Styela clava: one gene and its partner. The protein of the gene in region 1 purifies or fractionates together with the protein of each later gene. This does not show direct contact. Links are inferred from orthologs where the notes say so. Each region holds a gene or a part of one and is shown in the gene's direction. Other genes may lie near its edges.

Region 1 (13,327 bases):
ACCGGAACGATGGTTGGTTATTGGTTATTTCAGGGTATACCTTGGTATATTTTGTTCATACTACCACGTAACGATTGCTAGTGTTGAACAGCGTTTTGTCTTGTCCAACACCTGTTATAGCTAAAGGCCGCGGTCTTACCTCATCTGACTTGGGATTGATAGGTTAATATTACATATTATTATCTCATACGGAAGGTCCGTAACGGGACAAGATGGCATACTAGTTTATTAAAAGTTTTTTTTTATTTATAAGACCATGTACCAGTAACGCACTGTGTCAGGATGACCAGGTGAATATTGCAGATCCTAATCTCACTGGTGAGGACCATGCGTGTCGATCGACTCTTCGACGAAAGTTGGACAAGATGGCATACTTTTTTTTTTTTTTTTTTTTTTTTTTTTTTTTTTTTTTTTTTGTTAATAAAAACATCACATTATCACAACACATTTATATAGACACAATAGCACAAATACAATTGCATTTTAAAAAAACGAGCACACAATAGTTTTCCACTTCTTATTATGGATTGACAGTTTACCATTTTTAGTTGCAATAATCTTTTCACAGTTTATAATATTTTTTATCTTATAAAAATTGGCAAAATTGAGGCCTTTCATTACGCAGTTTACATTTGTATATAAAATATCTGGCACATAATAAAACACAGTTTATACCCTGATTTTGCCCTACCCCCAATAACATTTCTCTATGTGTCAAATTGAAGTTTAATCCATACTCAACGGTTAGCCAAGCGTTAACTATTTCCCAAAATTGCTGCACAAATTCACAGAGATAAAATAAATGTAACACGGTTTCAACATGCATATTACAAAATGTACATTTTGGACTTTGTGTTTTATTTATTCTATATAGCAGGTCATTAGTGGGCACTGCTCGCAAGGCAAATTTGACATGGAATGAACGAAGTCTGGATTCAACAGAGCAATAAAAAACTTTTTCATACAATGTAAACCAATTATCTAAGTTCCTGCACAATTCTTTTGACCATTTTTCTATTTTTTCAGTTGGCGGCAAAATTTTTTCATTACAAAGCTTATCATAAATATATCGAGACGTTTTATCAATGCTTTTAATATCTTCGATAAGACTAAGATGTGGATTGACTGGTGAGGTTTTTGATAAATTAGTTTTCCATTGCTGGGGTATACATGATATAATTTTTAAATACGCTAGCATGTCATCATAAAAACTAGAAAAACAATAATGATGAAAAACATACGGAAACATTGCAAGTTGCTGATTAGAATCACAAATATCTTCAACGAAACAAATATTTTTACTATTCCAATCATCCATATATAAAAGTTTTCCTTTGCAAGTTATATTTTTATTAAACCACAAAGGTTCATGTAAATGACTTACATCCCTAATAATCTTGGATTTGAAAATAAACCAATAGTACAGAGTATCTCTCAAACATCTGGAATACATATTTTTGATATACACTCCATGCGGATATACATTTCCATAAAATAAAGCCTTTCCTCCATACAAATTCAAGAAAAACATTTCTATGGATTTCCATGAGACATCAATTTCGTCATTTATTAAACATTTAACCCATCTTAATTTTTGACCAATGAGAAATGATTCCACATCAAGCATATTGACCCCCCCTTCCTTCACAGGTGCAATTAATGTCTTACGTTTTATTCTCTCCCATTTTGAACCCCATAAAAATTCATGGCATATCTTATTTACTTCCATTATAAAACTATTGGGCAGTATTACTGGTAAGATGGAAACTACATAAACCAATAAGCTCAACATCAAAGATTTAATCACAGTGATTTTTCCGAGGAAATCTAGATTTCTTTTGGACCATATTTGTGCAACCATTTTCAGTTTTTGAAGTTTTGGCAAAAGGTTCACAGTAAAAAGATCCGTATCATTTCCACACACATTAATGCCCAAAATTTTAAAACAGCTAGGGTTCCACTGAAGTCCTCGGTCTTGCATAGGAAAATTTTGCCAATTATTATTTGCACCCAGGTATAATGCTTGGCATTTATTCGTATTTATCTTGCACCCAGACATGGTAAAGAAATTATCGGTTTCAGAAAATACTGTTTTAATACTTTTTTGTGACCCATCACAATATACTGTTGCGTCATCTGCAAACAAGGAAATTTTAATTTCTGTATTTCCGAGACATATACCTTGTATATTCTGGTTTTGTCGCATTCTACATGCAATTATTTCAATTATTAATAAGAACATATATGGTGAGAGACTACAACCTTGCCTCAAACCTTTCTTAACTTGAAACATTCTTGAACTATAATTATTATTAACAACAGTGCTTTGACTTTGAAAATATAAAGTTTTGACATGGCATACTTATTCCTTTAAACAAATATTTACCAGTAAGGTTAGGACTGAATTCAAAATTTCAGGCATTTTTATCTTGTAATGTTGAAGCGTAACAAATTCAAGGTTGTTATCATCGAGTCGGCTTTTTAATTTTATTGGCAAAGTAGCCACAAAATACGAAAAAACACCTTCAGCTTCAACTGATATACTATATTGGATAGTTTTGGGTATTTCTGAAATTATTTTTCTATCTTCTCTGGTAACGTGGATCAGCATTTCTTTCTTCATCACATGTAGTACATTTTTACGGGGTGGTTCTAAATTTGGGAGGTGGTAGAAATCATAGAATTTAGAGATTTTGTGTTTGCCCAGTTGCAAAAAGCCAAAAACCTTCAAATAAGGCATGTAGCATTTGTGTTTTCCTGCAAGTTGAAAAGGGGTATTTCAATTTCGAAAGTATTTGAACAACACTAAATTTCGATATTTTATGAGTATGGATTGAAGACAGGGAAAAATCGAAATTATGCCACCAAATATTGAATATGATAGTTGAAATATTGCAGAAATCAAAAGGTCTCAAAGTTTATAATGAAACTATAGTACGATTTGAGTTCAACTTACCCAGTAGCCTAAATAAGAATGCGCCGACACATTTTCGTTAAAATCAGATGATTCAAATCTGTCATAACCAGTGATGGGATTTGCTCAGCTTCGACGCAAAGTGGTTGTCCGTTACGTTCTCTTACTCACAGGCTCTTTTATTTATCACACTTCAACCTGGCTTGATGTATTACGATATCTCTTCGCTTTCTTTTCGCTAGCGATGGAGATCGTATTTAATTAGCTGATTTATATCAACGTCCCTCTTGGCAACTCTGCCAGGGTAAATTACTTCGAAAAATGTTGCGTCGGTTCGAAGCACGTGCTTTCGTGCCCGACATGTCAGAAATAGCTTATTGAGAAGATGAATAAGAAATTTAAAATTATCCGTACTGACTCAAAACAAGTGGATGTAGTTATAACGCTTTTCAGTGCAATAGACCCATTTGATTATTATGCTTGTGATGCAATCCTTCAAATGAAAAAGACATATGTAAACCACGATTTTAACGAGAAATGCTGTATAGGCGGGTCGTGGGATAGGCACAGCCATCGGAAAAGATACCCGCCTGAACCGTTTCGAGGCCAGGGTAACTTCAACACTGATCAGTAATAGCGAACTTAATATATATATGATATGATAGTGTTACTCTTTCGAGAGCCCATGAACCACATGGAATATGCAGAAAGATGTTCGCAGGTCCGTCATCAAAGCATGCATAAGATAAAAATGAAGTTGCAAATTGGAACTACCCGCCGCCATAGTAGTCTAGAATCTAGATCAGTGGTTCCTAACCTTTTTTTCAAGCGACCCAAGTTTTTAAAAAAAATAAATTCTGTAATATCTCGCGACCCGAAGAAATGTACAAATACTAAACGGTATGTTGTTCTTGTAAGGCCGAAAAATAAAATTATTATTATAAAAATATCGTTTTTACATAACATTTATTTTTCTATGAGTTACTTTGATGTGAAGAAGTTTGCACTTGTTTGCTAAGAGCGAGTTTTTAAATTCGTAGCGTGGCTTTACTTGAGAAAAATAGATGCTGTCAAGTTTTTACACTGTTATACCTTCCACACAGGGCTGAATCAACCATTGAGCAAAATAAGCACATGCTAAGGGCACCCAGAAAAAAGGAAGCATCACAGATATTTCATAGTCGAAATTTTAATTGCACTTTAGTGTTTAATGAAATAACTAAAGTTGGTCTGACGACTCAAACCTTAATATTGTCCTTGTTAAAATAAATTTGGCTTTTTTTCAATCATCATATTAAACCTGTAGGCATGAGAACCATTTATGAATCATAATTTGGCCTTCAATCAGTATTGAATCCTGAAACTGCATATTTAATATCAGATAACATGGAACACTGGTTTCATTATTATACTGTATATTTTTATTATTACTTCTCATAAACTTATACATAGGGCATCAAATTCGTAAGCGCTTAGGGACACCAAAACTGCAAAGGCATGATCCGGCCCTGGACAGGATATACTGAAGTTTCGAATTATCGGAACTTTTATTGCCGTAGCGTCCACCATACAAGTATAGATAGCCTACCGATAAGTTCATAACATTAAAGTGAGAACATAGAAGAGAACTAAGTGCAGTTGGTGTGTTAGTAAGAAGCTTAATTAACACTGTTCCGCTTAGAGTGGTTGAGTGGAGTACGGCTACCGTACTCCTGTTTTCCCGGTATTGGTATTTAGGCATTTAGCCATTAGGAATATTGGGCGTCGAGAAGTAGCGGTACGCTACCACGGTTCTAGATACTGGTATATATAGCCCACAACATCGCTAAAACGAATCACCCGTTTGTTGAAGGGTTTGTTGAAATTTTCCACGAATGTATGCTGCAAGTTTTGGAATTCATTGCTCCTGATATAAAAAGTTGATTTTCCAGCATTAGTCTTTCTAACAACACAATTATGAGCCTTAACAAATCAAAACTTCGGTCCATACCGACATACAATCACTTGAATTAGAGCCATGTTTTGAATATCTGATTTCGTATTTCGAGCCAACCCGAATTACACATATATGTACAATGTACACATACACTATGTTAACTAAACTAAAGCAATAATAAAAGCCTATGCCCAGTGATGAGCTGTAGCCGGAACGCACCGGAACGGCGTTCCGGTTGTTAGACATTTTATTGCATTTGCGTTCCGGTTGTTGAAATAAAATTATGTCATAGAAAGTCCAGTTCTAGTACATCTTGTAAACTTACCTATTAACTTGCGTTTTTTTTACGCCACAATTCTTTTTAAGTTATATACAATTACCTCAAAATTAGGGGGGTTGAAAGTTTAGAGGGGTGCAGTGAAATCACTGTCCTGAAATACGCTACCGATACTAACAATTATATTCGACGTTTGTTCTATTATGGTTTTGCCCATGACGTCACTAACATAATATCACGATTTAATTCACCGTAACGATCCATAGGATTTAATTCTATGATATGTTTATTTCCGCGTAATTATAGGCGAATGTACACGTCGTACCCCTGAATTCTACACGTCTTCAAATTTACCCTGATTTAAGAAAAAAAAAAAATTAAATTTACCCCGATTTCAAATGCCAATAAATTCAATATACACCGAGTACTCGATGTTTTATGAAAGAAAGTATATTTGTACTTCCTAAGGTGAAACAATTATCAAACTAACAGTCATTAGAAATTTGCGCAATTCGACATTAATATTTTAGTGATTTAGTCCATAGAATTTGTTTTTAACGGATCAGAAAGACAAGTCTGGAATCCAGCCCAAATGCCTTCATACGGAAATATGACAAGTTTGGTTGACTCAACGACTAACATACCGGTTGACTTGAGCGCTTGATATAGCATGGAGCTTCGTAACATCCGCTACCAGAAAATACGAGGGAAGCCCCCTATATTCCCTGTACGTACTCGCTGTTTGTAACCCTAACAAGTCCGTCGTCAAAATTTACCGAGAACGAATGTTTTATTCCTCAAAAAAATTAAGGCGAGATTAACATAATGTGTAACAACGGTGAAACAATGAAACATTGTTTTGCGTGGGTCCGTACGTATTCTGGGCCAATGAAGGGCATTTTAGAGTATATTTCCTCATTGTTTGACTCTACTGGACTATATTCTAGCCAAGTTAACTATTCCTTTGCATGCGATAGTGTTATAAACTGAAGCCCATCTGTACAAACGATTCCTTTAGAAACCGTCTATCATTATTAACCCGTTGCAATAATTCGTTACATCAATCATGGCGTCACAGCGCTCAAAATTATAAAGGAGAGTAACTGTTAACCCGCGGGAAAAATGATCAGCTGACTGCATAGCAAATAGCACGTTCGGAGGCTAGTCTTCGTTTTGCTCTGTCTTTTGGATTTATATGTTTTTAAAATGCTTTTTTTCGTTTTTATTTGCGACGATTAAAATATTGGCAAGTTTTTGTTTATTAATTATATTATACAGTACAATTTAGAGTATCAGCATTGCTGTTGAATGCATAGATGAGGATTTATACATATGATAAATAGGACGCCGCGTCAGTATCTGAATGCTAACATACAGACATATCTGTACTGTATGTGTTCATGGTGCGAATTCCAAAATATGCCTTTCATACTATAAGTTTAGTTGTGCTTTACTAATGTCACATTTTACTTTACAGTCTATGTTTTCACTTATAAATCAGTTGAAGGTCATTAACTTCAGAACTTGGTATCAAATTAAGGTGCGTGTTATAGGATTTTCTGATTTTATAGTGATACATTTGTATATATAGATATACGGTAAGTTATAAATAAAGAGAAAGAAATACCTCATATCGTTATTATTTTATCTCTCAAATTTGTTTTGATTTTTCGTTGTTCACAATATTACATGCTAGCATTTACTGATTTATTTTCACATGGTTCCAGATATTAAACATATCATCTTACTGTGGTATCGTACTCTCTCACTTGGCTATATCAAGATTTGCGTTTATGACAGTAGGCCATACTGGTATAACGATATTATTCAAATACTTTTCCATCAATATCCAGATACCTCCGACATCTTTCTATTAACTCTCAAACCCCTAAAATGTTTGTGTAATTTTCTGTGTTCGCTACTGATATCTTCATATATTTTTGTTCAGAGGAATTCATTGAATATGGCTGATCGGAAGTCTGGAAGAATGATATGGGTTGACTTAGAAATGACTGGTTTAGATGTGGATAAAGATAAGATCATTGAAATAGCCTGTATTGTCACAGATGCTCATTTGAAAATCATCGCAGAAGGTCCTAATTTAATAATACATGAAAGTGAGGAATTGTTATCTGGCATGGATGAATGGTGTCAACAACACCATGGAGCTTCTGGTCTGACGGAAGCCGTACGCAAAAGTAAAATTTCTACAAAAGATGCTGAAGACGAAGTGTTGCAATTTGTGAAGAAATATACTTCTCCCAAAGTGTGCCCTCTCGCTGGAAATTCTGTACATGCTGATAAAAAGTTTTTAGATAAATATATGCCCATGTTTTCAAATCATTTGCATTATAGAATTATTGATGTTAGTACAGTAAAAGAATTATGTAAACGTTGGTATCCAGGCATCTATAATAAAGCACCCACAAAACAAGGATCCCATAGAGCTATGGGTGATATTATGGAGAGTATAAAAGAGCTCAAGTATTATAAGGACAATATGTTCATCCAAACTTGATTTTTAATGTGCTCCAAACTATTTTACAACATCTTTTTTGTAGTATTTGCATTCCTATCATGAATATGATACCTCCTATATCAGTTTTGGTACATTGTTGTTATACAATTTTTAAAATCTTACAATTCATATTCTGTAATAATAATTAGGACCACGCATCAAGTTGTATTGTGTACTAGAATGTTTCTGAAACCCAATTACAGCAAGTTGTAATTAGAACTATTCTAATACTAAGTACTAATATTAAATATGAACGAATGAAATATTGTATTTCCACTTTTCATTCATGTATTGTTTATATCTATTTTCACCAATCACAAAAATAGCAGTCTGGCTAAAATCTTCAATACATTTTGCAGTTTGAATTTGTACTTGTGTGGCTAAAATCTCAGTAGGAGTGAATAATAATTTTATTACATATTTAGTATCTCAGTCCATCTCAGCATCAGTGTGGTGAATGTTTTTTTTTACCATATTTTAAAAAAGTTTGTCTGATATTGGCATAAATTTTTCGATTATGTTGATAGGCCGTAAAGTCTGCTTGATTACAGTTATTTATGTTCATATTTGGTTTTAAATGATTTTAATAAATAGATTTATTTTGAAGTTAATGCTGTATGAAAATATTCACTTGTATTGTATTTTGTAATGTTCAAATTGAAATTTCACATGAAATATAGTTTATGCAGTCCAGTCTTGTACATCCAAATTCTTCACACATCTGATTTATAAATAGTCCCACATATCAACCTTGTCGTGATGGAATTTGATAATCTTCTTAAAAATAAAATCGTAGGTAAAACACTGTCTATGCAACTGAGAGTTGCCAATAATTCTGTAATTTTTTTTCTAATTGTTTCAGAAATTATTATCATCATATACAATAGTAACTATATTTACTTGACTTTGTACAAGATTTGATATTAGTTGTCAAGAGTACTTCAGGTGCAAAAATGGATGTTGTAAACCAGGCTGGACCTCGGGTAAACAAAGTTATAGATGGCATCGCAGAAAGAGTTCAAAAACTATTTCAGGATTTCTTGGAAGAGTAAGTCAAAAGATGTATATTGTTTTACATTTGGAATCCGATACTAATAAAGCCTCAAATGGTCGTTTGCTGTAGTGTACATTTTTGCTCTTGACAATCCGGCAAATTAGTGGCATTACATACCAGTAGTTTGAATTATGATTTTGATTTTCAGGTGCTTTGGCAGTTGTCTAAATATAAAGAAACTAATTTTTTATGACTCAAAATTATTTCAGGTTTTCAGTTGAAGGTGAAGTGAAATATCTTGCACCTGCTGAAGCTTTGATGAGACCTGAACGCAACACCCTTACTGTAAGCTTTACAGATATCGAAATCTACAATCAACAACTAGCAACTACTATTCAAGAGGAATATTACAGGTAAACTTTGATATTTATGAGATTTTTTCCATTCACATTTTATTATACAATGGTTATTCCACACTGATCATTCCCTATTTTGTTTCAGCTTGTATGCTTTCACTCTCTTGCTTGTTTTGTCATATATTTGGAAGTTCTCTTTCCTTTTTGCAATTAAAATATAAAATCGTGTTAGGTCTCATTACTTGTATTATATTACTTTTCAGAATGTACCCTTTCCTTTGTCGAGGTGTAAGAAGTTTTGCAAGAGAACATTATCGTGGTATCCCAGCCAGTAAAGATTTGTATGTTGCATTTGAAGAAGTTCCAACAAGACAAAAGTAAGCATTTTTGTTGTATTCTCTTGAAACCAATGATCAATATTTTGCAGGTTATTCTATCTTGTAATTCGTGATTGAGTTTTCTATTATGTTTATGAAATAAAGTCTTCCATCATTACAGAATAAGAGAGCTACGGAATGGAAGAATTGGAACATTGTTGAGAATTAGTGGTCAAGTTGTCCGAACTCATCCTGTCCATCCTGAATTGGTCAGTGGAACATTCACATGCTTGGATTGCCAAACTATTATAAAAGATGTGGAACAACAATTCAAATATGTGCAGGTATGTCTATTGTCTAAAAATCTGAAATCTGCAAACCATGGCTCGTGGGCCAAATCTGGCCAGTCAGGTGAATCAATCTGGCCTACTTGATTCTAGCATAAATTTCTGCTTTTAACATATTCTGCATGCACTACATACCGCAGTTGTTGTTAATTTTGTTCATATCGTACGCATTCTTGCCACTCTGCTCATAAGATATAACTTTTGACGTCACACTTACTTGCCTTGCCATTCTAGTTCGGGAAAATTTATGTTACCAGTTTCAAAAATCTTGCCCACTCCATTCTATAGAGCAGGGGTTCCCAAACTTTCTACCCTGGCAGACCGGTAAAATTAAATTAAATGTACTCGCGGACCGGCAAAAAATTGAAATGACCGGGATGGAAAAGAATAACATATGTTTGTGTAATGTAATGCAATGTCAGGCACTCAATATGCTTCTAGAATCTAGACAAAAAAGGTACGCTTAAAACATTTTACATGAAGAAAATCTATCAAATAAATCAAGACGTCGCAATATGACGGCAGAAGAGAAATTGCGTAATAAACCAACTCAACTTCATCTTCGGTAAAGCGATTGAGACGGCATAAAAATAACAAAACAACTAAATTTCTCGTAGCTTGGCAGACCAGCACCGGTCTGCGGACCGGCGGTTAGGTACCACTGCTATTGAGTGTAGGTTTTAATATTAAATGGAAGAAGCATGAACAGAATGCCTTACGACATTTTTGTATCACTATTTTCTTTTTCATTTTATTTATATATCCATTACAGCCTACAGTCTGCAGAAACCCACAATGTGGTAATCGTTCAAAGTTTGTGCTTGATACAAACAAATCCAGATTTGTTGATTTTCAAAAAGTGAGAATACAAGAAACACAGTCTGAACTACCAAGAGGATGCATTCCTAGAAGGTAAAATATGTTAATGGTTGGTATTTTACTAAATTGTTGTTTGGAGGTATTGTTGGGAATAGGTCACTTTATGGACCAATCAATTTCAACCATTCAATCAACTTTTAGTACGCGAGTTGGAAAATTTTTTTTAAATTTATTTCGCCTTTTTTAGCCAAATTTCCCACAATGCCTCGATGATTTCCAGTACTTTCAATGACGATAGGTTAAAATTTATCCTAAATGTTGATTCCAAATTGCTCAGCAAGTATTGACCACCCTGAAACTGTCAATATCTCGTGAGGACTATTTTTCAAAAAATTTTACCAGAGATTGGTTTTAAACCCTGAGCTTAGTATAGTTTTTCCAACTGACAGGAACTTAGTTGACGAGACAAGTTATTTGTTAAGTATACATCCACAATATACGATATCTTGATTATATGTTTATTCTCTCCAGTGTTGAAGTAGTTGTTCGTGCTGAAGCAGTTGAAATGGCTCAAGCTGGTGATAGATGCGATTTTATTGGAACGTTGATTGTTGTGCCAGACGTCGGACAACTTGCAACACCAGGGACAAGAGCTGAAACATCAACAAGAACCGGCGGTGACAGGGTAAGTCAATTACACAACATTGGTATTTTGAAGGGTTCTCTCGTATTATTTGTACCATGTTAGGGTGAAGCCATGATTTTATTCCGATTTTCCTTAATTTAGTTCTATTATGAGTTTAGGGACTGTCTTTGTTAGCCAAGTGAATACACCCCCTGCCCATAGGCTTCCGTCCCTTTACACAACTTGATGTAAAGTAGGCGAACAATAGCAGTTACCTCCATATGAGTACACATAGTTCTGGAGCTCCCAAATTCCATGCATACCACCTCACCCATGGTGTAGTAGATTGGGTAGGCGATGCCAAACTGGAATGATGATGGTCCTGTCAGTATAAAGTAGCTCCTTGCACATCAGTGGTACTTGTTAGAGTGAATGGCATATGAACATGTGATAAAAAATCATATTTGATGTTATAAATACATGGTTTTAGGATTAATAAGAATCGTTTTTTAAAAAATTATATTTTTGAAGTGTTAAAGACTCACTCAAGTCAGTATGACTTGATATTCTTTCTTTCAATTTATCGTGGAAACCCAATTGTATTTTCAATCGGATTAGCTAAATTTAAACTTGTTCAGTACACTTTTATGTGTTCCTTGTTGAACATGGTCCCATTACAGTGATACCTCGGTAATCGAACATACTTTGTTCAGGATTGGTGTCGATGCCGACTACTGATTTGTTGGAGTACCGAAACATTACCATTACCATAAGAAATTATAGTTCAATCTTGCGCATTCCAAAATACCCAAAATAGTTAGTCATGAAGATTGTGTACCATGGCTGATACTGTGGCGGATTGCATACCCGGACTAATTTGTTTTGGTCTTCGTGTTCTTATATTTAAGCGTCGATCTCTTGTTGAATGGTCAAGTGGCAACGGGATGACCGGTTCAGGTGACGTCATCTCACTTTACGCCAAGTTAGGTGTTCAAGCATTGAATTTTCATTCGAGCACCGCAGCATTTTTTGATCAACCTTTATTTGGTCGACTACCGAATTGTATCGATCGACTATCAAGTATCACTGTATAATCAATATTCCTTTTATGAAGATACAATTATAGATTGTATTTTAAATAGTAGATTTATTTGGTTTCGGTCATTTATAATTAAAAATGAAACCAAACCTCGCATATTTATTTTTATTGCAGAGTTTTGAAACAGAAGGAATCAGAGGTCTGAAAGCATTAGGTGTTCGCGACTTGAATTATCGTCAAGCTTTTCTTGCCTGTCATGTCACTGCCACCAATCCTACAGTAAGTAATCTTCAATTTTTTTCCATGTTTTGTATTTACAATGTCGGCACGGTTTGAAATAATTTTGAGTATATTTCAATTTTCTCTAATCTTTGTCAAAATGTTACATATGATGTTTATGAATGTGTGGTATGGAGACGTGATTCTAAAAAAGAAAATAATTATTATTCCATAAGCTAAATTTTAATAAATCATTGGTATTCGAATATGTTATTGTTATTGGGAAGTCCTTTTTATAACACGAAACTTCATGGAATTCAAATTTTGTCTGAACTAAATTTTTTACTCATGGCTAAATCAGAATTAGTATTGTGGTATGCATTCAGCATGTGTGTCTGACAGCAATGACTTAGCAGTTGAAGCGTAGACTTATCTGTGTTAGCAACGCAGATTACACACATTTAATTCAAATCCCATTCTCATCACCTGACCCAATAAATTATGGAGGCCGCGTCGATTCTGATTATTTCAAACAATAGTAGCACTAGCACCTTGCATATCGTTAGACGAAAGTGACTGCCTGAGCCTGAGCCTCAGGATTACGACTATAGTTGTGATTTTTGTTAAAATATCGATGAAAATAAGATCTTAATGACCCCGATTGTTACATTGTGCTCCTTTTTATTATATAAACGTTAACTCATCGGTTATAAATGAGCTGTCCTTCATTCATAGTTTTTCATATTAAGTTTTGAGCCTCCGGCCCAGTAACCAATTCTTAATCTGTAACTGACCCACCCAGAATAGTAATTGCCCACCCCTGCTCTAATGAATATATAGAAAGGCATGTGATTATCACTCATTGTCAATTACAGTTTGGTGGAAAAGAAATAAGATATGATGAACAAACAATCGAAACTATTAAAAATCAAATGACAGAATCGGAATGGGAAAAAATTTATCAAA
Region 2 (13,049 bases), on another chromosome or scaffold:
AAATATCGGAAAAAAGACATATTGGCCGAATATCCACAAACCGTTGGTATGATTGGAAAGTTATTTATCAGCCAAACCTCTCTTGTGCACTATAAAAGTTTATCTATTACCATTCAGGAATATAAGTGATATAGCATTGTAAGCTGGCCTCTAAGTGAGTGTTGATTCTGAGTATGCCAACAAAACTACAATCGAAATCGATGCGAGCCTGGTAAAATATGTTGATGATCGAGAAGGAATGTCTTTTTTTAACATCTGTATCTAATTCTCAAACTCAAAATTTATGTACCTATACATGTACCTTATGCTTTATGAGGAAGTGAATAAGCGATTGGTGTGAAACTAAAAGTAAATGAGAAATAAATTTACTCTTACATTCTCTCTTAAAGATACTCAGGTTATTTTCTAATATGTAATATCTCCCCTCTTTTCTAAGTTTCTGATAATGCATCTTTCAATTGGTGTTTAAATTCTTTAAAATTTCGGCACGAAACACGCGCACCATTTTTTGAATATATATTGATTTTCCCTTATCTTAAAAATGAAACTGGATTCTGAAACCATGCCCATTTTGGCAAATGAATATAGGTTATTTTTATTCATTTTGTAAAAATTGTTCGAAATACCTTCATAACGTTTCTGGACTTTGAATCGCTGACAACGAAGTACTAGAAAAAGTGTGGTGCGTGATATATAGCGGTCATCGTGATATTCATTCTTGATTACTGTGTACTTTTACTAGGATTTTTCCGCATTGTTGTAAACACATAATATTAATTACATTAACTGGCGTAACTATTTTCCGACTATTAAATAAGCAAATCAGTTAATAGCCTATACACTGTGGACTAATTTGGACGCATCCCACTCAGATATATATATTGCCTGAAATTGAAATTCAGATTAAAAAGATCTACTCAGCTCTTGAAATTTTTTTAACGAACTGGAACTCTGGCATATTTAAAAGCTCATGTTATTCTTTTAGCGACAGCATTCCTAATTAAACAAATGGGGTACAATTTGTTGCTGAGACTTGTGGCAACGTAGGAATTAGGACACGTCTATGTACGGAAAGTCTGAATTGCTCCTGACGATGCCGAGTTATTTCGTTTTCCACCCCATTTCCTCTGTTCTCCCGTTTTAAATATATAATTATGCAACTTACGGTCATCAGAACACGAAATATTGCATTTATTAGGAAAAGTTTCTGGTAATGGTAAAATTTTTCTGGAAATGGTAACTATATTTGAAAGAATATATTTTATTTCAAAGAACGGGAAATTATTCAGGTGATGGTTCGATTTAACGGTGGGAGGTACCAAAAACAACGTGTAGTTTTAACTTGCTCATATAAATACTTTCAATTGTTAATACAATAAATTATCGCAAAACAACTTAATAATTATGGAGATTTCAAGACCCTCAACATCATGAATCGATATTTTCTAGTTCTTTTGCCTAAAAGTGATGTAAAGCACGTGTGATGCACTTATTATAGACAAATACATTTGAATACAACAAAAAACGACATCGAACGCACAAAATTGAGATAATCGGTGAAACCCTATAGTAACTTCGATATGCGATAATTAGTTTTCTAACCCCATTTATTTGCGAATTTAATGCGTCTCTGAAATACCAAGTGGTATTGACATCATTGGTTTTCATCAAATATATCAAAAGTGATGGCCGAAAAAAACGATAAAAAAATAAATTTAAAATCCAATTTTTCCGAATTTTATTGATGATAACATTTTTAGCTTTTTTATGTTGAAATATATCCGAATATACTAAAAATTTTAATCCAAATGCACTAGAACAAATTTTCCATTTTGGGGTCCGAGGTCATATAGGTAATCAAAACCACTCCCTTAAGATATAATTATAAAATTCCCACATCGACTAATGCAAAAAAAAATTAAGTTTGTCTGAAAATTCGCTCATCCATATGTGTTTGAAGTTTAACTCACGACTTCGTAACTTTCAGCAATAAGTCATTTAACAAATAATCCAATTTATGAAATTATGGAAATTTTGTCATGTGGTATTAAAAACTCCACTATGAACAACTTTCAAAATATCGCTATTAGATCTCTTTCCAGGTTACATTTTGACCTCAATAAAATAGTCTATTCTATTTTTGAAATTGCAATTACTTCGCAAAATATAATTTTGTAGACGATGAGATTTTAGTTCTGAACAATTCCTGAACAATACTTTTCAGTATGTATACTGTCAATTTATTATTTTTCCATGTGTGTCATCTATTACGAGTATAAAAATAATTAAATGAGTAGTCTCATATTTTCATGTGCATAGTCTAATATCGTCTGTTACACGAGAAACGCATTTGTGATTAGGCAACCGAGAGCACTTCAGTTCGAAAGCGCAGTCGGAGTCAGATGTCGTTACGCACGACGAAACTTGATACGAAAGTATATTCGGGGTTTCGGGAACAAACGAACATTTTACAGGGAACTAATCTGTGCCAAACTTGGCAAGAAGGTCTGTCACGATGTCTACAAAACCCACAAAAGTGATCAGGCCAAAGGAAGAGGTTTATTTTTTGCAAAATCGGGTTTTGGGGTCTCGGATGCGAGTACCCGTCAATCTAGTCACACTCGAGTGATTTCAATGTTTACAGGTAATTGAGCTCTGTTTCCGGGCAGAGCGTTTTGCAGACTATATTTTTACAAATATATTCAACAGGTGGGCAGTGGCTTACAAGCAAAGCATTTAGGGGAAGCGTGAACGGTTTTGATGATGGACTATGATTAAATAGCCAGCTCGCGGTGTCGACCATATCCAATGATGTTCCTCATTCCCGCAAATAGGCTAAATAACGTAGTCCCTCGGAATTGGGCGACGACGATTGGGCACCATCTCCACTATATTTAAAACGAACTGTATTACTTGCGTGAAATTTTGTCATACCATTTTTTATTGAAAACCGCTAAAAATAACGCTGTGAGTGGCTCACCATATGCCACAGAAAACGAGTAGCCCAACTGCAGCAAAAAATAACATGTGACCGAAATGCAGCAAATAGATGTATATATATATACATAAGTCCATAGCTGAAAAGTGTGAATCTACATGAAACCGTTCCTTAAAATACATTAGTTAAGCATCAGCTTTCGATAGATGCCCATAGACCTTTGTTTTAAACAAAAGCGTCAAATATCAAACCTGAGTAAATTCAGGAGGTCAGGAACTATTTTCCGAGTCAGAAGCACTTCAACTATTTTCTAAAGCAGCAGGCTCCCTCACAATCTAGGTACAACATTTCATCAAATCGTCCGACGTTTCAATAAATAACTCGGTGTTTCGTTAATTTTCCTGAGTTAAAATAATTTCGGCATACGACTCTCGCTATAGTATATATACGTTTCAAGTTCAAAGTACTGAGACTCCGACGACTGTTACAAAGCCATCGGTTCCATTTCAAGACCTGAACTAGCCCACGAACTAGCCAACATTCATAGCTGGATGTTAGTTAATAAATTATCTCTTAATGCTAACAAGACTAAATTTGTATTATTCCATCCAAACAAGCATAAAAGTCTGAGTTGTACAAAACCACTGCTGCTCAATGGCAATGAAATTGAAAGCGTGAAAGAAAGAAAATTTCTAGGAGTTATCTTCGATGGAAATCTGTCTTGGAAATCACACATATTGCATGTTATTAGTAAAACAAAAAGAAACTTGGCAGTGGCTGCCAAAGTATCCCAGTGTGTTAATCAATCAGCTTTACTAGCAATGTTTCAATCATTACTACTCAGCCATATCCGATATTGTTGCTCAGTCTGGCTCCATGGTAATAAAACACTTGTCTCAAAATTGCAAAGTATTTGTAATAATTTTTTAAGAATTCTTTTTAGGAAAGGTAAACGTGAAAGTGTAAACCATTTCTATAAAAAGCTAAATATACTCAAAGTTGAAGATATAATGAAATTTGAAGTATTATCATTAGTCCATGATTTCCATAACAATTCCTTGCCAAACTGCTTCGACGACATACTAACTAAAATTATTTCCAATCGAAGAAGTAGTTCCAACCTGTAGTAGTAGTTCATACCTTTTATGAGTACATCTGTGAGCCAACATGCCTTATGTTATACTGGGCCCAAGCTGTGGAATTCTCTCCCCTTGAATTTGAAGACATTAAAATCAAAAAAATCTTTTCAGAAAAAGTCAAGTCCTACTTGGTATCAAAATATTAAAATTTATAATTAGAATCACACTGTTATATATTTTTCGTATGTAATTAGCTACAACTTCAAAAGAAAGACCATGACATAAGTTGGGACACTCAGCACTTGCACATACTTATTGTTTTCATAAGAATGTTGAACACCCATTGTTATTGTTTCTGAGATTGCTAATTTATTTTTGAACAAGCAGTTGAGCTCTCTTCATCTGTTTTGCATTCTAGTTGGCCATTTATTTTGTTCTATAGCATAAGATTTTCCTTAATATGACTTGTCACATTCTGATATCTACATGCGCATGTTTCCTTTTCTTTCAATGTTGGGTTTCTGATATTCCACATGCGTGAACTTTGTTCTCTATTTGGGTGGTGTGATTCTTTGTGAGGGTTGTAGACAGTAGAATTAAACTCCTGTACCTAATATTGTAATTAGGTGACCAGTCGAGGTATATTTGGATTCCCCCCCTATTGTTATTATTTCTGAGATTACTAATTAATTTTGAACAAGCAGTTGAGCTCTCTCCATCTGTTTTGCATTGTAGTTGGCCATTTATTTTGTTTTATAGCATAAGATTCTCCTTATTATGGCTGTTCACATTCTGATATCTGCATGCGCATGTTTCCTTTTTTTTTCAATGTTGGGTTTCTGATATTCCACATGCGTGAACTTTGTTTTCTGTTTGGGTGATGGGATTCTTTGTGAGGGTTGTAGACGGTATAATTTAACTCCTGTACCTAATATTGTAATTAGGTGACCAGTCGAGGTATATTTGGATTCTCCCCTACATTTTAACTTGCTGTAGTACTATATGCTATGTCCTGCGTGTGTACAAAGTTTTTATCCTTGGTCGAATTTATGCTGTGTATAGCATGCAAATGTGTAAGGGTTAGTGTGATGTTCATGACTAAGATAATGGCATACATATGTGTGGTTTGACCGACATCGAAAGGTTTTTGCATGGTTTGTGAACAATTTCTCTTGTGTCCCAACCACAATCTCTTCTTTCTCAGGTCTTTCAACTAGCAGTCTAATGATATTTAATTAATATTAATCAATATTTACACAATTCAACAACTTCCACTCAAAGGTGTAGGGTAGTTTTCTATTGATTCCTTATTTGCAATCATTGAACATTGTACTCGCAGATATATTTTTCGTTTTTCAGGACGTCATGATGATCAATTTAAATGCTATCTATGTCAACATGAAAGGTGTATACAACAACAAAACTTGCAGACTGATGAATCATCCGTGATGAATTTGAACTGACCGCAGTGATCAACAACCTCAATTAAAGTTACTTGCCTATAATCCATGACCCTAGAAACCTTACTTGAACCTTAAACACCATATATATTCCCTTAACCAATTTTCTTACCTCTGTATCATACCGCCCTAATTAATTTTAATTATGATTACCGGTACTGTTATTGATTAATAGTATTTAAAATAATTTGGACGTTATTTGGCTTGTTGTGGCTTCTATTTGATGAGTGAAGCAGGTCTAGCCCACCTCTTCATACATCCAACTTGGCAATTCTGATTGGGCAATTTGGCATTAAGTGACTCCAATTATAATCAGCTTGACGATATCTTTTGAGGAATACTTTTATATCCACAATACATTACTCTTGTTGACTAATTCGGTATCCAATTTGGCAATCCTCATAAAATTATTGATTTGGTGTGGCAAAAGAATTTATTCATTTTTTTTTTATTTGTTTGTATATTTTCCTTCTTTTTTACTTTTAAGTCTCGCTGTTTTCGCTTCCGACTGTATCATGTCTCGATGATTGTGTGTGTGTGTGCATGCGTGCCTTAATTAGTTTTTTTTTTTTTACTTTTGGGTGAGCGAACACGTACTACTTCTTTTATCAATACCTTTCCATCTAAAATCTGTACGTTTCAAACCTTACTCTAGGTTTTGTTCGCTTTCCCGATTCTATAATCAGTTACTTTTACTTTTATCTATTTTTTTATCGTCTATTGCTGATTATGGAGTCGAAATAAACTTATACTTATACCTGATACACGACGTCGTCCCTATACAGTATATATATATATATATATATATATATAACATGAGTGTGAAATCAAACTTTTTTTCCAAATAATAAATATTTTTAGAATAAAATACTTTTGTGTGAATTCTTCAGATGTGAGACGGCGAGCCACCCTCGAGAATGTTGAATGGGTGACCGTACGTTTGAACCCATGTGTATATCCGCGGGTTCAATCTATATGCAGGTGCTAAAACCCATGGGTTAGGTTAGTATGGGTTCAAATATCCGTAAATCAAAAAAATTTTCTGTAGGTGCAATAGTATGCAGATGCAATCGTCGTGGGTTCAAATGTACGTGGGTTCAAATGTAATGGAACCTCTTGAATGCGCTTTGACTCTAACAAAGTGACTAGTCAATTTGGATTCTGACAACCCACGACGAGACGAGAGAATCGCCAAATGTTAATATGAGAGAATGAGAAAGAGAAACGTCATTCTTTGTACACCAATCAGAAACCGCCGTCGCTGGAACAGCGAGTTTCAAATGAGATTTAAATGCCTGTGTTCGGCGTGTATTTACTTGGCAAAAGGTAATATGAAAAAGATGAAAAAGACTCGATATCCAGGGCTCACTGTTGTGTATTTTGAATCAAATCTTATCAAAATTAGTTAAATTTATCGTATGTGTGTATTAGAGAATTGCTTTTGCACCTGTAATTACAAGAACAGCGGTTATTTTTTGTGTAATTCAATATAAGGGCTTTGTTACCGGAGATTTTTACATTTTATTTTTGAAACGGGAACACTTCTAAATTGTTGAATTTCAAATTGTTGAAGTCGCCTCCGAGATTGTTTGTTAGTTTTCGGTACTGGCTTGTATAAGCGCCAGTTTGGAAAGATTTGAAACGCAACAGTGTCGCGACTCATCTCCAAGCAGATCGTAACTAGGATGCTATTATTCATTTATCTATGTCCTTAAAATATCATGTGTGGATTATTTAGAAATTTTGCAATAGCAGAATAAGGTGGAGTTGAACATCCACGGACCTATCGAGACTGTGTTTAATGTTTCAGTGTTTGGACCGACCTGCCGCAATACTGGTTAGTCATTAAAGACAGACTGACTGAAGAAATAGCAAAATTTTGCCCAAAGTCATGTGATTGACTAAATCCAGAAATCAGAAATGTGATCATCTTATGTAGCTTTCAGAATGAAATATCAACTTTCATGGTGTTTGTAAAACTGATTAATGACTGAATGATCTATTTGGAAGTGGTCAGATAACTTCTTTCAATTGATATTCAGTATGCCAGGATTAAAAATATTTGGATAGAATAGTCATTAAATGCGTTTTGTGAATGACAACTTCTTCCATCGTTATTTTTCATCTATCCAGCTATCTGTCCATAGGCATCAATCCAAAATTATTTCCTGATGTGGCCAACCGCGGTAAATTTCATTTTTAACTAAGCACTTATTCCTTCAAAATAACAGAAGGTTGACACCTGTTAAATCAAAAATAAAATATCCATCAAAAGTAAAGTATGAAACAATAAGCTTTAGGGATGATCATTGGGCCCTTGTACGCAGTAATACTTTTTACCGTCTTGTTAGTAATATTTCAGTAATTAGTGTTTTTCTCTTGTCAGAATTAACTAAATATTTTATTGACATCTGAATTTTCTCCGCGTTCAATCATTTGAAGAAGTTACCAGCACCAACATGTCTAAGAAGGATATTCCGATGAAGGAGATCCCTGAGATTCTGTGTGATGACAACTCTGGAAAACGTTATACTCGCGGAAGATTTCTGGGAAAAGGAGGATTCGCTAAATGTTTTGAAATAACAGATCATGAAACAAAAGAAACGTTAGCTGGAAAAATTGTTCCTAAGGTTAAAATAAGCTACTCTTCACATCTCAATATATTAAATTATGTATCGTATTTTCTCATATTTCGTTGAGAATAATATTCAATTTTGGCAAGTGCATTATGGTTTACACAGAGTTTAGTAAAACAAGTTTTAAAGAAATTGTTTATGAACTGTCATGTAATAATTTAGGTTCATGAAAACTAAATGCATTTTCATGAAATTTCATTTCAAAATTTGGCAGATATCATGAATCCATAATTTACCGTTCAGTTATCTTTTAGTCCAGAATGAAATTGTAAACTAGGTTTCTCTAATACTATTTCATTTTGTCACTTTCCAATATTATTTGTTCAAATACTCAATTTTGCTATTTTCCATACTTTAGGCACTTCTTGTGAAGCCTCATCAGAAAGAAAAAATGACTCAAGAAATTAGTCTTCATCGTAGCCTCAATCATGATCATGTTGTTGGTTTCCATGGATTTTTTGAAGATAAAGATTTTGTTTATATTGTCTTGGAATTGTGCAAAAGAAGGGTATAATTTGAGTTTTGTTCAAATCTTATTTTACTCTCATTTCCTCATCTATCTAAATTAAAACCTTTGTCATTTGAAATATTGTACCTGTTCAGATTAGTCAAAATTTACTCGCGTCATTGTACCGATACGCTATGTTCACTACATGAAACAGCAATGTTTCTAGCTGTCAACAATTTTGGATGAATCGAAAACAATTTATTAAAATAACACATTTAAACTTTGACTTGAACAACAACAGCGGCTGTCATTATGTGGTTCCGCAGTGCAGATAACATAACATTTTTTTATCTCTCAAAATTCTATTATTTCTTTCTACAGTCTCTTATGGAATTGTACAAGCGACGAAAAGCTCTTACCGAACCAGAGACAAAATACTATATGAAACAAATTCTGCTTGGAGTTGTATATCTACATGACAAAAAAATTATACACCGAGATATAAAAGTAACCATTTTATTATTATTACCTATTATGTATAATGAAATTAGCTCTCAAGACTTGACTAATTTACGGATATGTTTTTTTTTTTTATTAAAAAAGGTGGTAGATTATGATAGCGGAATAGTGTACAGAAGAAAATATATTGATTGCCGAAAATTGTCATATAATCTGGATCAAAAATTTCAGTATACATACTATCTCTTCATTTATCTTTTATAATTTAATGTACATTCAATTTTTCCAGTTGGGAAATCTTTTTCTAAACAATGAGATGGAAGTGAAAATTGGTGATTTTGGCTTGGCAACCAAAGTTGATTTTGAAGGGGAAAGAAAGAAAACATTGTGTGGTACACCCAATTACATTGCACCTGAAGTGTTAGGAAAGAAGGGACACAGCTTCGAAGTTGACACATGGTCTCTTGGTTGTGTATTGTAAGTTCACACATTTTCATGATCAATAATTTTAATTTCAGAGAGTATCTCATTGGGTTGTTCACTAAAATTCCCGTATTATCACATGATCAAAGCCTGATTAGAGAATGTTCTGATGCATTTTTTACTCGCATTCTACTTTGCCCATATGGCATTTCATGTCGCTTGTTTTAAACCTCATTTGAAGTTAAGGCAACTTTTCTGATTTTCCTCTTTGTGTTGTGTTTGTCTTGTGAATTGTAATTTTTTCGTACCATATATCGGAAAGATTATCCTTTTTCAGATACACACTGCTGGTTGGTAAACCTCCATTTGAAACCTCAACATTGAAAGAAACTTACAGCAGAATAAAGAAAAATGAATACAGAATTCCTCATCATGTTTCTCCAGCTGCCAAGACTTTAATAAAAAGGTAGTTTTAGTATCTTATGTAGTTTTAGTAGCTTTTAAATTGAACAAATTGGATTCGACCATTGGAGTTACTCCTAGTTTACTTTTTGAACGATACTCAATAAAATTTGTTGTTCATTTTTAGAATGCTATGCAATGAACCCTCATCTCGACCCTCAGCGAAGGAAGCTCTGGAAAGTGACTTCTTTAATGGTTATATTCCTCATAAACTACCTACGACTTGTTTGACCATGGCACCTCGATTCCCTGAAATGCAGACGCAATCTCAAAGGAAACCTTTGCAGGATATAAATGGTATGACTTATGAGAAGTCACAAGTTTTTGAAAATTACTTTGTTGAACTGCTTTTTGATGAAACGCTTTGATTTACGAGATGGTGTTTGGATTCATCCTCAGTTTAAATAGCCTACCGCTTTAATTCTGAAACTTGCATCTTCAATTACAGGCATGCAATAAATAGATATAGTTCAGGGGTACAATGATAAAAATGTTATTCAACTAATACAAACATTAAAATTTTGTGGATGCCATCTGCTCACATTCGAAAATAGATAAAACAATGAATAATCTTTGAAGTGTTTTGTCAAAAGCAATCTTTGATTACCTGTATAGTTAAACAACACAAGTTGTAATGCTATCAATAACATTGCTAATGTTTTAATTTTAATCTTCTGTCAGGTTCTGATAACACTCCTGCTCAAATGGCTGGGAAAAAATCAGAACCAAATGAGATATGCAATAATGAATCTCCTGATTTTCATATGGGTGAATTATTTGAGCAACTCACTAAACTTATTGACAGCAATCCTTCTCATCGAAACCCGGTTAATATGGGTAAGTACTTAAAATTATATTCAAATGTATTTTTGGTAGGTTTCAGTGAGATTACTTATTGCTTAGCAATGTTGACTAATCCAGGCTTACTGGCTCATCCGGCATGTGTAAATTGTCACCATGCTGAATGTTGCAACATCTTGTGAGAGAGAATACGAGTGTGTAAGTGAATACTCCTATGCCCTGTTTAAATTCACTTAATTATTAATATTTCATTCATTTATCTTTAATTTTTTATTTTTCTGGATTTTGACATATATAGTATTGTCAATTATCCTAGAGTTTCAAGAGTTACATTTCTTTCATACATACTTTACAGATGAAGCGGAAGATCCAGCAGCTAATCCAGTCTTGTGGATCAGTAAATGGGTGGATTACACAGACAAGTATGGACTGGGTAAGTCTAATATTTATCGGAATATAATGTAGATATACGTTTGTAATCTAGGTTTAGGATTTCAAGATCTGAAGTTATTCAATTCATTTATCTATCATGATAATTCATGTGTAATATATTCTATAACTGAACTTTTACTATTTAAATTTTGAAAAGATTTTTCAAAAAACTTTTTCTCACCCTAATTCAGAACAAGGCCCCAAGACAAGCAACCACTGTTATCAGTGGAGCACTATTCTCGAGAGTACCTGAATTTTTCCTGGTTGTAGGCTTGGAGGTTGAAGCCAAATTCTTAAAGTTATCAACAGTGCCTTCTATAGTCATTCCACCCACAAACGCCAATAAACTTCTATTTAAAATTTTACATAAATTAAAGGGGTTTTCATTAATGATGTGTTTCATTCAGATAATTTTTGGGCCCTATGTATTCCCATTTTTTCAGAGTAGTATATTTGTGTTAAATATTCATTAAATTTACACCAGTATAATGAAAAACCATCGTTATTATATTTTGCCTATCTCTTAAGTTGGGAACTTCACAAATGATATTCAATCTGTAACGCTCAATTTAATATTGTATGTTTTACAGGATATCAACTTTGCGACAACAGCAATGGAGTGCTTTTCAATGACAGCACTAGAATTTTGCTTTATGCAAATGGTGAACATATTGAATACATTGACAAAGACATGTCGGAATCATATTATACTATACGAACATACCCTGATATGCTCGTTAAGAAAGTTACTCTTCTCAAGTATTTCAGAAATTACATGAGTGAGCACCTGTTGAAGGTAAGATTTGTGGGAGTTGGAATTAATCTTTTCCATTTTTTCTTTTATTTTTCTAGTTGTTCATGGTAAGATGACAGATAAATGTGTCGGGATAGGTATGTTACTGTTTAGATAATATTGAAACATATTTTCCAATTTTTTTTAGATTTTTTTAGTTGTTCGAATGATCCAAAAATATGGAATCGTTAAGTCTATTTTGTGTATATGATTGCCATATAACATAACCCAACATACAATTATCCTGAATTTGAATATCTGTTTGAATTCCCAATTCTACCTAAATGCATACTCTTGCAATATTTCTCGTCCAATTGGTTTGTTTAAAAATGAATTCATTTTGTATTCATTTTTCTAGGCTGGAGCATCCATGGCACCCAAAGAAGGAGATCAACTTGCTCGACTTCCGTTCTTACGTACATGGTTCAGGACTCGTAGTGCCATTGTCTTGCATCTGAGTAACGGAACATTACAGATTAATTTCTTTGCTGTAAGTATTTAAGTATCAATTTAATAAACTGAGAAAGTTGTATAATATTTATTTCTAAGGTTACAAATTTTTTTATCCACATTCTATAGAATTACACCATATTTGTGACATGTGACATCACATAATACCATATTCGTTTGATTTATCAGGATCACACCAAGATTATTCTCTGCCCATTAATGGGAGCTGTTACTTACATTGACGATAACCGAAAGTTCCGAACATATCGACTGTCATCACTAGAGAAATATGGATGCTGCAAAGAGCTTGCACATCGGTTGAGATACGCAAGAACAATGCTTGAGAAGTTGAAGACCAGTCGAGCATCCACCGCCAGAATCAAGGACCAATCGTAAACTGAGACTGCTGAACTTATATTGTAAACAGCTACTAATTTTCCATGCTTTTTTGATGAAGGGACTTGTAAAGCCTCCAAGTATTACTCTTGTAGTACTTATAAATGTTTGAAAGCATCAACAACGCAGGCTAAAACTAAAAAGTTTGATGTTAAAAATTTTGTCACTATGGCCATTTGATCTTCCTTTGATATATAATAGTAGTAATCAATTTTTATTGTTACTTGCTATTTCTGGTGTGGAATGACATCTCGCATTATTAAGAATGCTCT

The links.
Region 2: the proteins of DNA replication licensing factor MCM6-like (region 1) and serine/threonine-protein kinase PLK1-like purify together in Homo sapiens (affinity purification with mass spectrometry; 3 studies listed by BioGRID and IntAct, with this or other methods). This does not show direct contact. The link is inferred for Styela clava from reciprocal best matches to the Homo sapiens genes MCM6 and PLK1.

The regions. Positions count from the first base shown.
Region 1 is NC_135258.1:11,782,761-11,796,087, reverse strand, and holds the start of DNA replication licensing factor MCM6-like, read left to right. Parts: upstream 1-8,500; 5' UTR 8,501-8,598; coding exon 8,599-8,693; intron 8,694-8,908; coding exon 8,909-9,052; intron 9,053-9,258; coding exon 9,259-9,372; intron 9,373-9,493; coding exon 9,494-9,656; intron 9,657-10,431; coding exon 10,432-10,571; intron 10,572-11,009; coding exon 11,010-11,163; intron 11,164-12,316; coding exon 12,317-12,421; intron 12,422-13,236; coding exon 13,237-13,327. Other genes in the region: putative oligoribonuclease, read left to right, coding at 6,584-6,667, 7,076-7,645. UniProt on the Homo sapiens protein: Acts as a component of the MCM2-7 complex (MCM complex) which is the replicative helicase essential for 'once per cell cycle' DNA replication initiation and elongation in eukaryotic cells.
Region 2 is NC_135260.1:16,479,616-16,492,664, reverse strand, and holds the start of serine/threonine-protein kinase PLK1-like, read left to right. Parts: upstream 1-7,842; 5' UTR 7,843-7,936; coding exon 7,937-8,107; intron 8,108-8,471; coding exon 8,472-8,621; intron 8,622-8,942; coding exon 8,943-9,068; intron 9,069-9,309; coding exon 9,310-9,497; intron 9,498-9,780; coding exon 9,781-9,909; intron 9,910-10,032; coding exon 10,033-10,202; intron 10,203-10,586; coding exon 10,587-10,742; intron 10,743-11,061; coding exon 11,062-11,139; intron 11,140-11,728; coding exon 11,729-11,934; intron 11,935-12,289; coding exon 12,290-12,421; intron 12,422-12,570; coding exon 12,571-12,777; 3' UTR 12,778-13,049. UniProt on the Homo sapiens protein: Serine/threonine-protein kinase that performs several important functions throughout M phase of the cell cycle, including the regulation of centrosome maturation and spindle assembly, the removal of cohesins from chromosome arms, the inactivation of anaphase-promoting complex/cyclosome (APC/C) inhibitors, and the regulation of mitotic exit and cytokinesis.